Lonchura striata: one gene and its partners. The protein of the gene in region 1 purifies or fractionates together with the protein of each later gene. This does not show direct contact. Links are inferred from orthologs where the notes say so. Each region holds a gene or a part of one and is shown on either strand. Other genes may lie near its edges.

Region 1 (3,746 bases):
CAGCGCCCGCCGCCGCCATTTCGCCCCAGTCGGAGCCGGCGCCGCGTCCGCTCCGCACAGAGCCGGGCCCGCTCCGCACAGAGCCGGGCCCGCTCCGCACAGAGCCGCGTCCGCTCCGGACAGAGCCGGGCCCGCTCCGCACAGAGCCGCGTCCGCTCCGCACAGAGCCGGGCCCGCTCCGCACAGAGCCGCGTCCGCTCCGGACAGAGCCGCGTCCGCTCCGGACAGAGCCGCGTCCGCTCCGCACAGAGCCGCGTCCGCTCCGCACAGAGCCGGGCCCGCTCCGGACAGAGCCGGGCCCGCTCCGCACAGAGCCGCGTCCGCTCCGCACAGAGCCGCGTCCGCTCCGCACAGAGCCCCCGGCAGCGCCTCCATCGGCCCCGCCCGGCGCGGAGCCCCCGGCCCCGGCAGCGCCATGCCCGCCGGACCCGTGCAGGCGGTGCCTCCGGCGCAGCCCGCGCCCCCCGCCGAGAGCAAGCCGGTGCGGAGCGGAGGGGAGGGGAGCGGGGAATGGCGCGGAGCTCAGGGCTCTGGCAGTGTGGCCCTCACGGGCCGGGCCGGGCTGGGCTTGGGGGAGCTGCGGCTTCGTCCGGTGCGCGGTGTTGACCCCTGTGCCGCGCTCGGGTGAGAGCCCACCTGCAGAGCTGCCCCAGCCCTGGGCAGGCACAGGAGGGACCTGGAGCTTTGGAGAGAGTCCAGAGGAGGCACCAGAGATGCTGCAAGGGCTGGAGGTCCTCTGCTCTGGAGGCAGGCTGGGAGAGCTGGGGGTGCTCACCTGGAGAGGAGAAGGCTCCAGGGAGAGCTCAGAGCCCTTCCAGGGCCTAAAGGGGCTCCAGGAGAGCTGGAGAGGGACTGGGGACAAGGGATGGAGGGACAGGAGACAGGGAATGGCTCCCACTGCCAGAAAGCAGGGCTGGATGGGATATTGGGAATTAGGAATTGTTCCCTGGGAGGGTGGTGAGGCCCTGGCACAGGGTGCCCAGAGCAGCTGTGGCTGCCCCTGGATCCCTGGCAGTGCCCAAGGCCAGGAGCCTGGGCTAGTGGGAGGTGTCCCTGCCCATGGGCTGGGGTGAAATGAGATGAACTTTAAGGTTGCCTTCCAGCCCAAACCATTCCAGGATTCCTTGGAGACAGCAGGATCCAGCTGGGGCTGGGCAGGAGCTGAGCCCTTCCCTGGCAGTGCCCTAGGGCTGTGGTTCCAGTGAGTTGGGGGGGGGGTTGCCAGGAGCTGTGGGAGCTATCCTGGCTCCAGGAATGATGTGTGGAGGGATTAAAAGCCTGAGGGAGTGTGGCAGTGCTGTGTGTCCCTGTAATCTCCCAGAGCCTTTCTCTCTTGGCCATTTTCATGTTCTTTGCAGCCTTCCTGAGATGGGAATGTTCATTCCTCATGCATTCCTGAGATGAGAATCCAGCTCCCACAGAGCTGAAGCTGCTGTCCTGACTCTCACACAGGAACATCAACACTCTTGGGGCTGACAGGGAGCTGATCTCGCTGAGAACCTTGGAAAATTGTGATTCCCCCCCAGAAAAACCCAGTGGCTTTTATGCACAGTTGTTACCAAGGCAACATAGCAGCATTGTTAAATATCGCTAGTGTAGTGTTGCCCCATCCTTCAGCTCCTCAAGATGATGTTCTGAGGGAGTGGGAATAAAACCTAGAAATGTTCATGGTGCCTTTTTCTTAACACACCTTGTTAAGGTTGTGTTTTATGGGATGGTTTGTTTTGGAAGGGACCTTAAAGCCCATCTCATCCCACCCCCTGCCAGGGCTGGGACACCTTCCATTGTCCCACGTGGCCTTGGGCACTGCCAGGGACCAGTTTGACTTCAGAACATTTTCTGGCTTGGATTTTCTGTGGATTTGACAGAGCTGGGAGCTCTACCTGGATTTTAAATTATCCCTGACTGTAGCCCTGTTAGGATTATAAACATTTCCAGCAGATCTGTCCCAGTTTATAACACCTTTTCTTGGAAGCTGCTTGGTGAGGAAAGAGAAGCAGCATCTTTAGTATCCTGCAAAAGCATCTTATGGTTTTACTGGAATACAGATCCTCCTGTAACATCAGTGAGAAAAACACTCTTGGAGATTTTCTCTTCAAAACACCTTCTGTTGCAGCTACAATGGCATTAAAAGCTGTGTTTTATTTAATGTGGAGTTAATAATTCAGGTCCCACAGGCCCCTAGGAAGATGCAGAACTTCCACAGCTGCTGAGGAATGATGAATTATTCCTGGAAATGTTACTGGAGCCTCTTGGCTCAGCATTTAAAAACATACTTGGGGTCAAGGCTGATACAGTGAAAATTGTTTTGGTTCCCATGGGGGCACCTTCCTTGTCCTGCTGTCTCTGCCCCTGCAGCAGGTGCCCCTGAGAGTCCAAGGAGTTGGTGGGATGGATGATCCAGATTGTTCAAGCAGTTCAGTGGCTGAGAGGCTGAGGAGGAGGATGGATAAAGGTTCCTGTGTGCCATTGTTTGGGATGCCTAATCCTGACTCCCCTTCACCTTTTGCAATGAAACTGTCTTCATTACAGCCAGAAGAGGAGCCTAAAGAGGAAGCAGCACCAGCCAAGCCTGTGGTGGGAATTATTTACCCTCCTCCAGAGGTCAGGAATATTGTGGACAAGACTGCCAGCTTTGTAGCCAGGTAAGTGGCACTGGTGGTGTCTCTTTCCTGGGATTTTCATGCTTCTGCTGTTCAGTGCAGCTCTAGAAGCTGAAGCAGGTCCCAGTTTTGTGGTTTTGCGTGAAGGATTTCAAGGATTGAGGTTGTACCAGTGAGACTGAAAAAGAAGTCTCTTCAGGAGAGGGTGTAAGACACCCTTTGCTAGAGAAACTGGTAGTAAATAAATAAAGTCCTTGTTCAAATGTGCAGTGAGTGCTGCAATAACTAGGTGACCGGGCCTGTTCTGAATGATCTGAAGGGGAAACCAAATATCAGGTGCAAAGGGAGCCCTGGTACAGGAGTCATGGCTGTGTTTTGGTGCTAAAATGTGGTTGGTTTTGGTTCCAGAGAATTACTAAATGCTGCTCCAGTCCAACCCTTATTGTGTTACTCATCTTGAAAGTGCTGCCAAGGAGCGTTGGCTGCTTCTGAGCATATGGGGCTGTGTTTATCCTTTGGGATTGCAGAGAGCTCCTCTTTTGGAGGAGCTGGAATGTGTAAATGAGACTGGGAGTTATCCAGAGAATATGAAGAGGAACACCCTGTGGCAGCTGGGAATTTTCTCCAGCTGCCCTGAAATCACTGGCTCGTGCTTTGGGTGGGAGGAGGGGATTTTACTTGGACTGGGACTCCTAAATGCAGCACTCTGGGCTGGTCAATCCCTGCACAGGCTGATGTTTACCTGCTTTTTTTCATCATATGATCACTCTAGAACTGAAATTAGTCTTGAGAACTTGTTAATAGAGCAGATAAAATGGATGTAGTAAGTAACTTGTAAACTTCATGCTTCATAACTGTAAACTTCAGCCAGTGGTGGAAATGACCTTTGAGTGCAGACAGATGTGGCTGGCGAACACTTGTGAGTGTGAATTTTTAATATTCACATTAAAGGCACAATTAGGGTGACAGTTGCATCTAACTTGTGTGTGTTCAGCTGGTTGTGAGCTACTGAGGGAGAAACTCTGGTCGTGTGAGAGAGAGAATGATCTTCCAAGGGGCTGATGCCTCAGCACATCCTAGTCTGAAAGAGACATTTACCCTTGAGTTGATCTAAACAGCTTTTCTTCTTGCTCCCCAGAAATG
Region 2 (3,746 bases), on another chromosome or scaffold:
CCGCCCGCCTCACCTGCCCTGATGTACCTGCGGCACAGGCTCCACCCCGGCCGCGCCCCCTGCCCGCCCACCCCGCCGGGAAACAGAGATGTTCCCGAGTGGCAGTTCCCACTGGTGTCCATCCGTGCACAGAGATATTCCCGAGTGGCAGTTCCCACTGGTGTCCATCCATCACAGAGATGTTCCCGAGTGGCAGTTCCCACTGGTGTCCATCCCTGCAGAGATGTTTCCCTGTGGCAGTTCCCACTGGTGTCCATCCATCACAGAGATGTTCCCGAGTGGCAGTTCCCACTGGTGTCCATCCGTGCACAGAGATATTCCCGAGTGGCAGTTCCCACTGGTGTCCATCCCTGCAGAGATGTTCCCTGTGTCAGTTCCCACTGGTGTCCATCCATCACAGAGATGTTCCCTGTGTCAGTTCCCACTGGTGTCCGTCCATCACAGAGATGTTCCCTGTGTCAGTTCCCACTGGTGTCCATCCCTGCAGAGATGTTCCCTGTGTCAGTTCCCACTGGTGTCCATCCATCACAGAGATGTTCCCGAGTGTCAGTTCCCACTGGTGTCCATCCATCACAGAGATGTTCCCTGTGTCAGTTCCCACTGGTGTCCATCCATCACAGAGATGTTCCCGTGTGTCAGTTCCCACTGGTGTCCATCCATCACAGAGATGTTCCCACTGGTGTCCAGCCATGCACAGAGATGTTCCCTGTGTCAGTTCCCACTGGTGTCCGTCCATCACAGAGATGTTCCCGAGTGTCAGTTCCCACTGGTGTCCATCCCTGTACAGAGATGTTCCCTGTGTCAGTTCCCACTGGTGTCCGTGGAGGGGGCACAGCTGGCACAGCTGCCCAGCGATGTGGGCTCTCCTCTCTGGAGACATCCCAAACCCACCTGGACACGTTCCCTTGCCAGAGCTGCCTTCCAACCCTGAGCATTCCCCGGTCCCGCGGCACGCGCGTGGCCGCCACCTGGGGCACACCTGGGGACACCTGGGGCACACCTGGGGCACACCTGGGCACGCGGGGGACCTCGCACCTGTGCGCGCGCTCACACACCTGCGCTCCGCCCTTGCCGTGCGCGGCCCCTTTAAGACGGGGGGGGGGGGGGGAGGAGAGGCGCGCGCGCGCCCCCCCCCTCGCCTCGCGCCGGCGGGGCGCGTCGCGCGCGGATGACGTCACGCCATGGCCGCCCTGCGCCGCCGCGAGTAGAGGCCGCTCCGCCGCCCCGTCCCGCGCTGCCGCCGCCGCCCCGCCGGCCCCGGCCCGCCCCCGCCGCTCCCGGCCCGCCCCCGCCGCGCCCCGCACCGCGCCGGGCCCCCGCAGCCACCCCCACACCGGTGAGGCGCCTCCCGCGCCGCCGCGGCCTAGCGCCGGGAAAGCGGGGGGGGGGCGGGCGCGGGCCCGGCGGGGAGAGCGGCGGCACCGGGGAGCGGGGAACGGCGGCGGCAGCGGGGAGAGGAGGGGAGGGCCCGCGGGGTTCTGAAGGGGTCGGCGGTGCGCGGGAAGCCGGAGAAGCTCCGGGCCGGGGCAGCGCGGAAATGAATGAATTGCCCCGGTTGGTCGCGGTGAGGAGCGGGAGGGGCCGGCCCCGGCGCCGCGGGAGGCCTGGGGGGGCCGGGGGCAGAGCTGGGACCGGCACTCCTCGGAGGGGAGTGGGGACGGGAGAGCGCCCGGGGGCACGGCACAGAGGGCCCGGCTGGCACCGAGCAGAGTGAGGGGCACAGAGAGCCCGGCTGGCACCGAGCAGAGTGAGGGGCACCGAGCAGAGTGAGGGGGCACAAACTATGGGGTACAGCAGCCTTGCCTGCACATGGGGACAGCCCGGGCTGGCCTTGGGCTTTGTCACCTGTGGGGACAGTTTTGAGGTGAGTTTGGGCTTTGTTACTTGTGGGGACAGTCCAGGCTGGCCTTGGGCTTTGTCACCGTCAGGGTCAGCTCTAGGTTGGGTTTGGGGTTTGTCACTCATGGGGTCAGTGCTGAGGTGAGTTTGGGGTCTGTCACCTACAGGGTCAGTTCTGAATGGGTTTGGGGTCTGTCACCTGTGGGGTCAGTTGTGGGGTGTGTTTGTCACCTTCAGGGTCAGCTCTGAGGTGAGTTTGGGGTCCATCACTTGCAGAGTCAGCTCTGAATGGGATTGAGCTTTGTCACTCATGGGGTCAGTCCTGAGGTGAGTCTGGGGTCTGTCACTTCCAGGGTCAGCTCTGGGGTGGGTTTGGGGTCCATCACTTGTGGGGTCAGTTGTGGGATGGGTTTGTCACCTGCAGGGTCAGTCCTGAGTTGGTTTTGGGGTCTGTCACCTGCAGGGTCAGCTCTGGGGTGGGTTTGGAGTTTGTCAGCTCTCAGGTGTGTTTGGGGTCTGTCAGCTCTCAGGTGGGTTTGGGGTCCATCACTTGCAGGGTCAGCTCTCAGGGGAGTCTCCTCAGAGCTGCAGCAAGGACAGCACCTCCAGGGTGTGAATTCTTTCCTCCTGAGCTTTGCCTGGATTCAGAAAAAGGCTCCCAGTTTATCAGGACAGCTCCTTGCCAAACTGCTGATCCAACATCAGTCTTTTGAGTGGGATTATCCCAAATCCTGCTGGATCCAGGTGTGACTCTGCTGCTTGTCTCTCCCTGAGGCCCTGAGAACTCACACCCAGCGTTTGCTGGGGGAGAGCTGCAGGGAGATCAGCTGTGCTGGGAAAACATTCTGCAGCTGCTTTTCCCTGCAGGACCCCACCACAAATCCATGGGGAACATTCCTGCTTCAACCCCAGCTCCTGGAAATGCCTCTCAGCACCAAACTGATCCACAGGGCACCTGAGTTTGGGGCATCAAAGGGTGCCCTGAGAGCTGCTGAGTTCCCTGGGCATCCTGCACCTCAGAGCTGCCCAAGGATGGTAGAGAAATGAGGATTTGGGTTAATTAACCCTGTTAGCAGCTGGAATTGCAGTCAGGGCAGGGCTGCACACAGGTTCATCCTCTCAGTGTTCTGTGTTTCCCCTCTCCTGGCTCCTGAGGAATTGATTTTCTGCTGCCACTGCTCTTCCATGTTCTTCCCTGTGTTGTTTCCTGCCCTTGGTTTCTGCTTTGCCTCTGCTCTTGCAGTTTTTTGTTCCCTGAATCTTTGTGTGCTCTCCTCACCTGTCCTGTCAGCACTCTTCCCTCTCCTCAGCTCCCTCAGAGTTCCTGCTCCAGAATTTGCTGCTCTGCTTTCACCCCTGGATCTCATGGAGCTGATTCACAGCAGCTCTTTGGCTTTTAGGAAGTGGATTTTATCCTTTTATCCCAAAGATTTCAGCCGGAAGGAAAAAGCCTCCTCTCTTTTTTTTCCTTCCCATGTGTGCTGTGACCTCCCCCAGGGCTGCCAGGGGACAGAAATGGGGAATGCACTTGGTTCATCATATCCATGAAAATTGGTAGGATTTTAAGCCTGCAGTTGATGGCTCTGCCCAGCTCCAGGTTTTTGTAGGAACTCAGTTCCTGCCTGGAATTTCTACCTTTTTAATTTTGCACCTTTTGGTGCTGTTCATTTAACAGCAGAGAAGAAATTGGGCCTGATTTTGCAAAAGGAGCTGCTGGGTTAAAATTCCTGCTCTGACTCCTCTGGCCTTGTGAAAATCAACTGACAAAGGTGTGAGATTCAGGATATTTTTTTAAATGTATCCTGGCGAGGTGGAAATGGACTTTTAAAAGCAACTTAAGTAGCAAAGAGCTTTTCTCTCCCTGCCCTTAGTGCTGTGCCAAGGCTACTTAATCCCAGTGCTTTAAG
Region 3 (3,746 bases), on another chromosome or scaffold:
AATAAAAATCATACTTTCATATTCAGGCAGACTTCATGTTTATGCATACATTCTATTTAAAATAGGAAACTCTGTCTGGAATGTGTCACCTGCTTCTTCTTATCCCCACAGTGTCTTCAAGTCTGAGCAAGGCCTGAAGAAATTAGAAAAGAGAACCATGAATTCCTCTTTTCTGGAAGATTTGGGTGTTCTGTGATTGTTCTCTCAAAGTGAGTATCACGTTCTCTTAAAAAAAAACCCCCACATACATAGTTTCTATTTTAACTACAAAACTACATTTACCATACTATTAAAATGTAAATACAGCACTTCTAATCAATATAACATATATATAGTATAGTATACCATAATATAGCATTCAAAGTAATATTTTATATCTATTATAAATATATTATTATATTATTATATATACTGTTACATATATTAATATATTAATATATTATATAATTATAAATTAATATATATTATATTAGTATATAAATTAATATATATTATATTAGTATATAAATTATTATACTATTATATATAATTATATATAATGTTATATATATATATTATTCACATATAATACATTATTCAAATTAATATTTATGAAAAGCCAATCCTAAAATAGGCATTATTCACAGTCTAGTGGAAGCTGTCCATGTCCATGGCAGGTTGGTTTTACTAGATGACCTTTAAGGTTCTTCCAACCCAAACCATTCCATGCTTTCCCAAGCTGCTGCTCTGGGCGCTGCAAAGAGACAAAAGAAGAAAAAAAAAAAAAAACAAAAAAAAAAAAAAAAAAAAAAAAAAACAAAAAAAAAAACCACGAAAAAGCAAATTGAACCTGACAAAACCAAAACCAAGCAAAAAAAAAAAAAAAAAAAAAAAAAGATGAAAAAAACTAAAAAAAAAAAAAAACCCAACAAAAAAACAAACAAAAAAAAACCCAAACCACACTTATTTTCGCTTATTTCTCTATTAGAACAGGACAGAGCCAAACCTGGGGCAAGAAACGCCCATTTCAGCCGAAAACAACCTTTTATCCCTTTTTATCCCATCAGGCTTTTATCCCCTTTCCTCCCTAACGCCGCCGCTCCCCATCGGCGCTCTCGGCGATCGGCCATCGGCGGCTCCGCGATCGGCCATCGGCGGCTCCGCGATCGGCTCTGCGGCCTGCGCTGCGTGCCGGCGGGCGGGACGCGCCTGAGGGCGGGACGCGCCGGCCGCCATCGAGCGGGAGCGCCGCGGTGAGGGGCGCTCAGGGCCGGGGGCCGGGGGGGTGCAGGGAGGGCCTGGATCGGGGTTCCCTCTCTGCAGTTCCCGTCTTGCAGTGTCGCAGCCGTCTTCAGCACGGAAAGAGCCGGGTCGGGGCGGACGTACGGACGGACACGCTGCCCCCCCACTCGCGGTGCCGCTCCCCGGGGCTCTGAGGTGCAGCTCCCCGGGGATGTGAGGTGCAGCTCCTCGGGGATATGAGGTGCCGCTGCCCGGAATTCTCTGACGCCTCTCCCGTGTGCTCTGCCCGCAGGTGCTGCTGAGAATGGACATCAGGCCGAACCACACCATCTACATCAACAACATCAATGACAAGATCAAGAAGGAAGGTACGAGTGGCTGCCGGTCGCCTCTGGTTGTCCAACACGGCACTTGTCTTACAAAAGGGATTTTAGGAGCTCCCCGACGTCTCTGAATTGCTGAGCAGGAGTTGGTCGTGAGCTGAGCTCTAGGCAAACGCCTTGTTGTAATGAAACAGCAGCAAAGCAAATAATTGCACTTCCCACTAGATCAGGTTGCTGAGGTCTCCCTACAGCCCAGTCTTGAATGCTTTTAGGGATGGGGAGTGCTCTCTGGGAAACCTGTTCCAACACCTCACCACCCTGACAGTAAAGGCTATTTTCCCAATATCACATCTAAGCCTCCTCTCAGTTTGAAGCCATTCCCCCTTGTCCTGTTGCTCCAAACCCTTGTAAATAGTCCTTTTCCATCTTGTAGGCTCCCTTCAGGTACTGAAAGGCCAAAGTTAGATCACTCCTAAGACTTCTCTTTTCCAGGCTGAACAACCCCAAATCTCTCAGCCTTTCCTCACGGGAGAGGTGCAATAGTTCAAATGTAAGGTTTTTGTGTTTGAATGATTACACAATACAGATTATTTATTTACCTTGATTTGGATAGTGTTAAGGTTTAATTTGGCATGTGTTCAGGTTATTGTAGATAATTGAAGTAAATCCAGTGTAAGCTGCAGTAGTCTCATACAAAAATAATTTGGATCCAGAATACGAAAAAATACTTCATGTGAGTGAGAAAATTGATTAAATGTCCAACTTTAATTAGCCTTTAGGTAGTTACTGTTCTGCTGCATTCTTGTTTTACATCATGTCTCTACTGCTGCTTGTTTCAATTTTGATTTTCTAATCAGTCTGAGATGGCTGTCATTCATCATGCTTGAGTGTGTGTGCATATACCTGTATGAAAATACGTTTTTACATCCCTTTATGTAATTGTTCCTCCCTTGGAATGGCAGAATGGATGGCATTATAACTTCTTCAGTACGTAAATCCTTGAGGTATGAAACCAAATGCTGCACACCAGTTTACAAAACCTGGGCAAATAAATTTGTAATGATGCAACAGTTTTGACAAACTCGTGCACTCACTGTGTGAGCTACAGCTTGTAAAAAACACTGCTCCCAAAGGACAGCAGTCTTGGTAGAAGTGGGGATTTGCCTGTGACCTGCTGTAATCTGTTTTCTCCCTGGTGCCCAGAGCTGAAGAGGTCCCTGTACGCGTTGTTCTCACAGTTCGGTCATGTGGTCGACATTGTGGCTTTAAAGACCATGAAGATGAGAGGACAGGCATTTGTTATATTTAAAGAACTTGGATCATCCACCAATGCTTTGAGACAGCTACAAGGCTTTCCATTTTATGGGAAACCAATGGTAAGTTGTTTTTGTAAGATACTTGCCTTTTCTGTTTGAGAAGTTTGGGTTTTGCTGAATTTACATTTCTGCAGAGATCTTGGAAATCACTGTCAAATTTTAACTCCCTTTAAAATGGGACTGAAAACTGGCAGTTTTAATAGAAGCTAGTTCTGATTTTCTCAGATGTCCTCTGTGTAGCTCAAATGAATCTCCCTGTAGGTGCTACCTTGGCAGATGTTAAAAAGATGTTAGATAAATGGAGTTCCAATTTCAATGAACTAAAGTTAATAATTTCCATATTAGGGTTTTTTTTTAGACTTCTGTATTTGTGTTCAGAAAAAACTGAGAATTGTTTACTTCATAAGTGTACCTACATTTTATAACAATGTTTTTAATATAAAAGGTTTCTGCAAAAACAAAAAGGGTGTAAATACAGAGTTAATGTACGTGGTGCAAACTGTTCAGTATTAGTGACTGCAGAATATACTCTGTTTTTATTTTTTTTATTTTTTTCTTTTAAAAAGCGTATTCAGTATGCAAAAACAGACTCTGATATAATCTCTAAAATGCGTGGGACTTTTGCTGATAAGGAAAAAAGAAAGGAAAAGAAGAAAGCCAAAACTCTGGAACAGTCAGCAAATGCACCAAATAAAAAAGTTATCCAGGTAAGCTGCTTCTCTGTTCAGAAAAAAAACCAACCAAAAAACCCCAAATAAACAAACAAACCCCCCCCCCCCAAAAAAAAAAAAAAAAAAACAAAGAAAGAAAACCACAAAAAAACACACAAAAAAGCTATTCTAAATAATTTTTTAGGATTTGATGTTGTCTTTTGTTACTTTTCAAT

The links.
Region 2: the proteins of SF3A1 (region 1) and ZC3H18 purify together in Homo sapiens (affinity purification with mass spectrometry; 3 studies listed by BioGRID and IntAct, with this or other methods). This does not show direct contact. The link is inferred for Lonchura striata from reciprocal best matches to the Homo sapiens genes SF3A1 and ZC3H18.
Region 3: the proteins of SF3A1 (region 1) and SNRPB2 purify together in Homo sapiens (affinity purification with mass spectrometry; 5 studies listed by BioGRID and IntAct, with this or other methods). This does not show direct contact. The link is inferred for Lonchura striata from reciprocal best matches to the Homo sapiens genes SF3A1 and SNRPB2.

The regions. Positions count from the first base shown.
Region 1 is NC_134620.1:2,641,083-2,644,828, forward strand, and holds the start of SF3A1 (splicing factor 3A subunit 1), read left to right. Parts: upstream 1-1,133; 5' UTR 1,134-2,391; coding exon 2,392-2,645; intron 2,646-3,741; coding exon 3,742-3,746. UniProt on the Homo sapiens protein: Component of the 17S U2 SnRNP complex of the spliceosome, a large ribonucleoprotein complex that removes introns from transcribed pre-mRNAs.
Region 2 is NC_134615.1:22,359,697-22,363,442, forward strand, and holds the start of ZC3H18 (zinc finger CCCH domain-containing protein 18), read left to right. Parts: upstream 1-1,293; 5' UTR 1,294-1,336; intron 1,337-3,746.
Region 3 is NC_134605.1:3,353,484-3,357,229, reverse strand, and holds the start of SNRPB2 (U2 small nuclear ribonucleoprotein B''), read left to right. Parts: upstream 1-1,165; 5' UTR 1,166-1,232; intron 1,233-1,513; 5' UTR 1,514-1,525; coding exon 1,526-1,589; intron 1,590-2,747; coding exon 2,748-2,920; intron 2,921-3,426; coding exon 3,427-3,567; intron 3,568-3,746. UniProt on the Homo sapiens protein: Involved in pre-mRNA splicing as component of the spliceosome. Associated with sn-RNP U2, where it contributes to the binding of stem loop IV of U2 snRNA.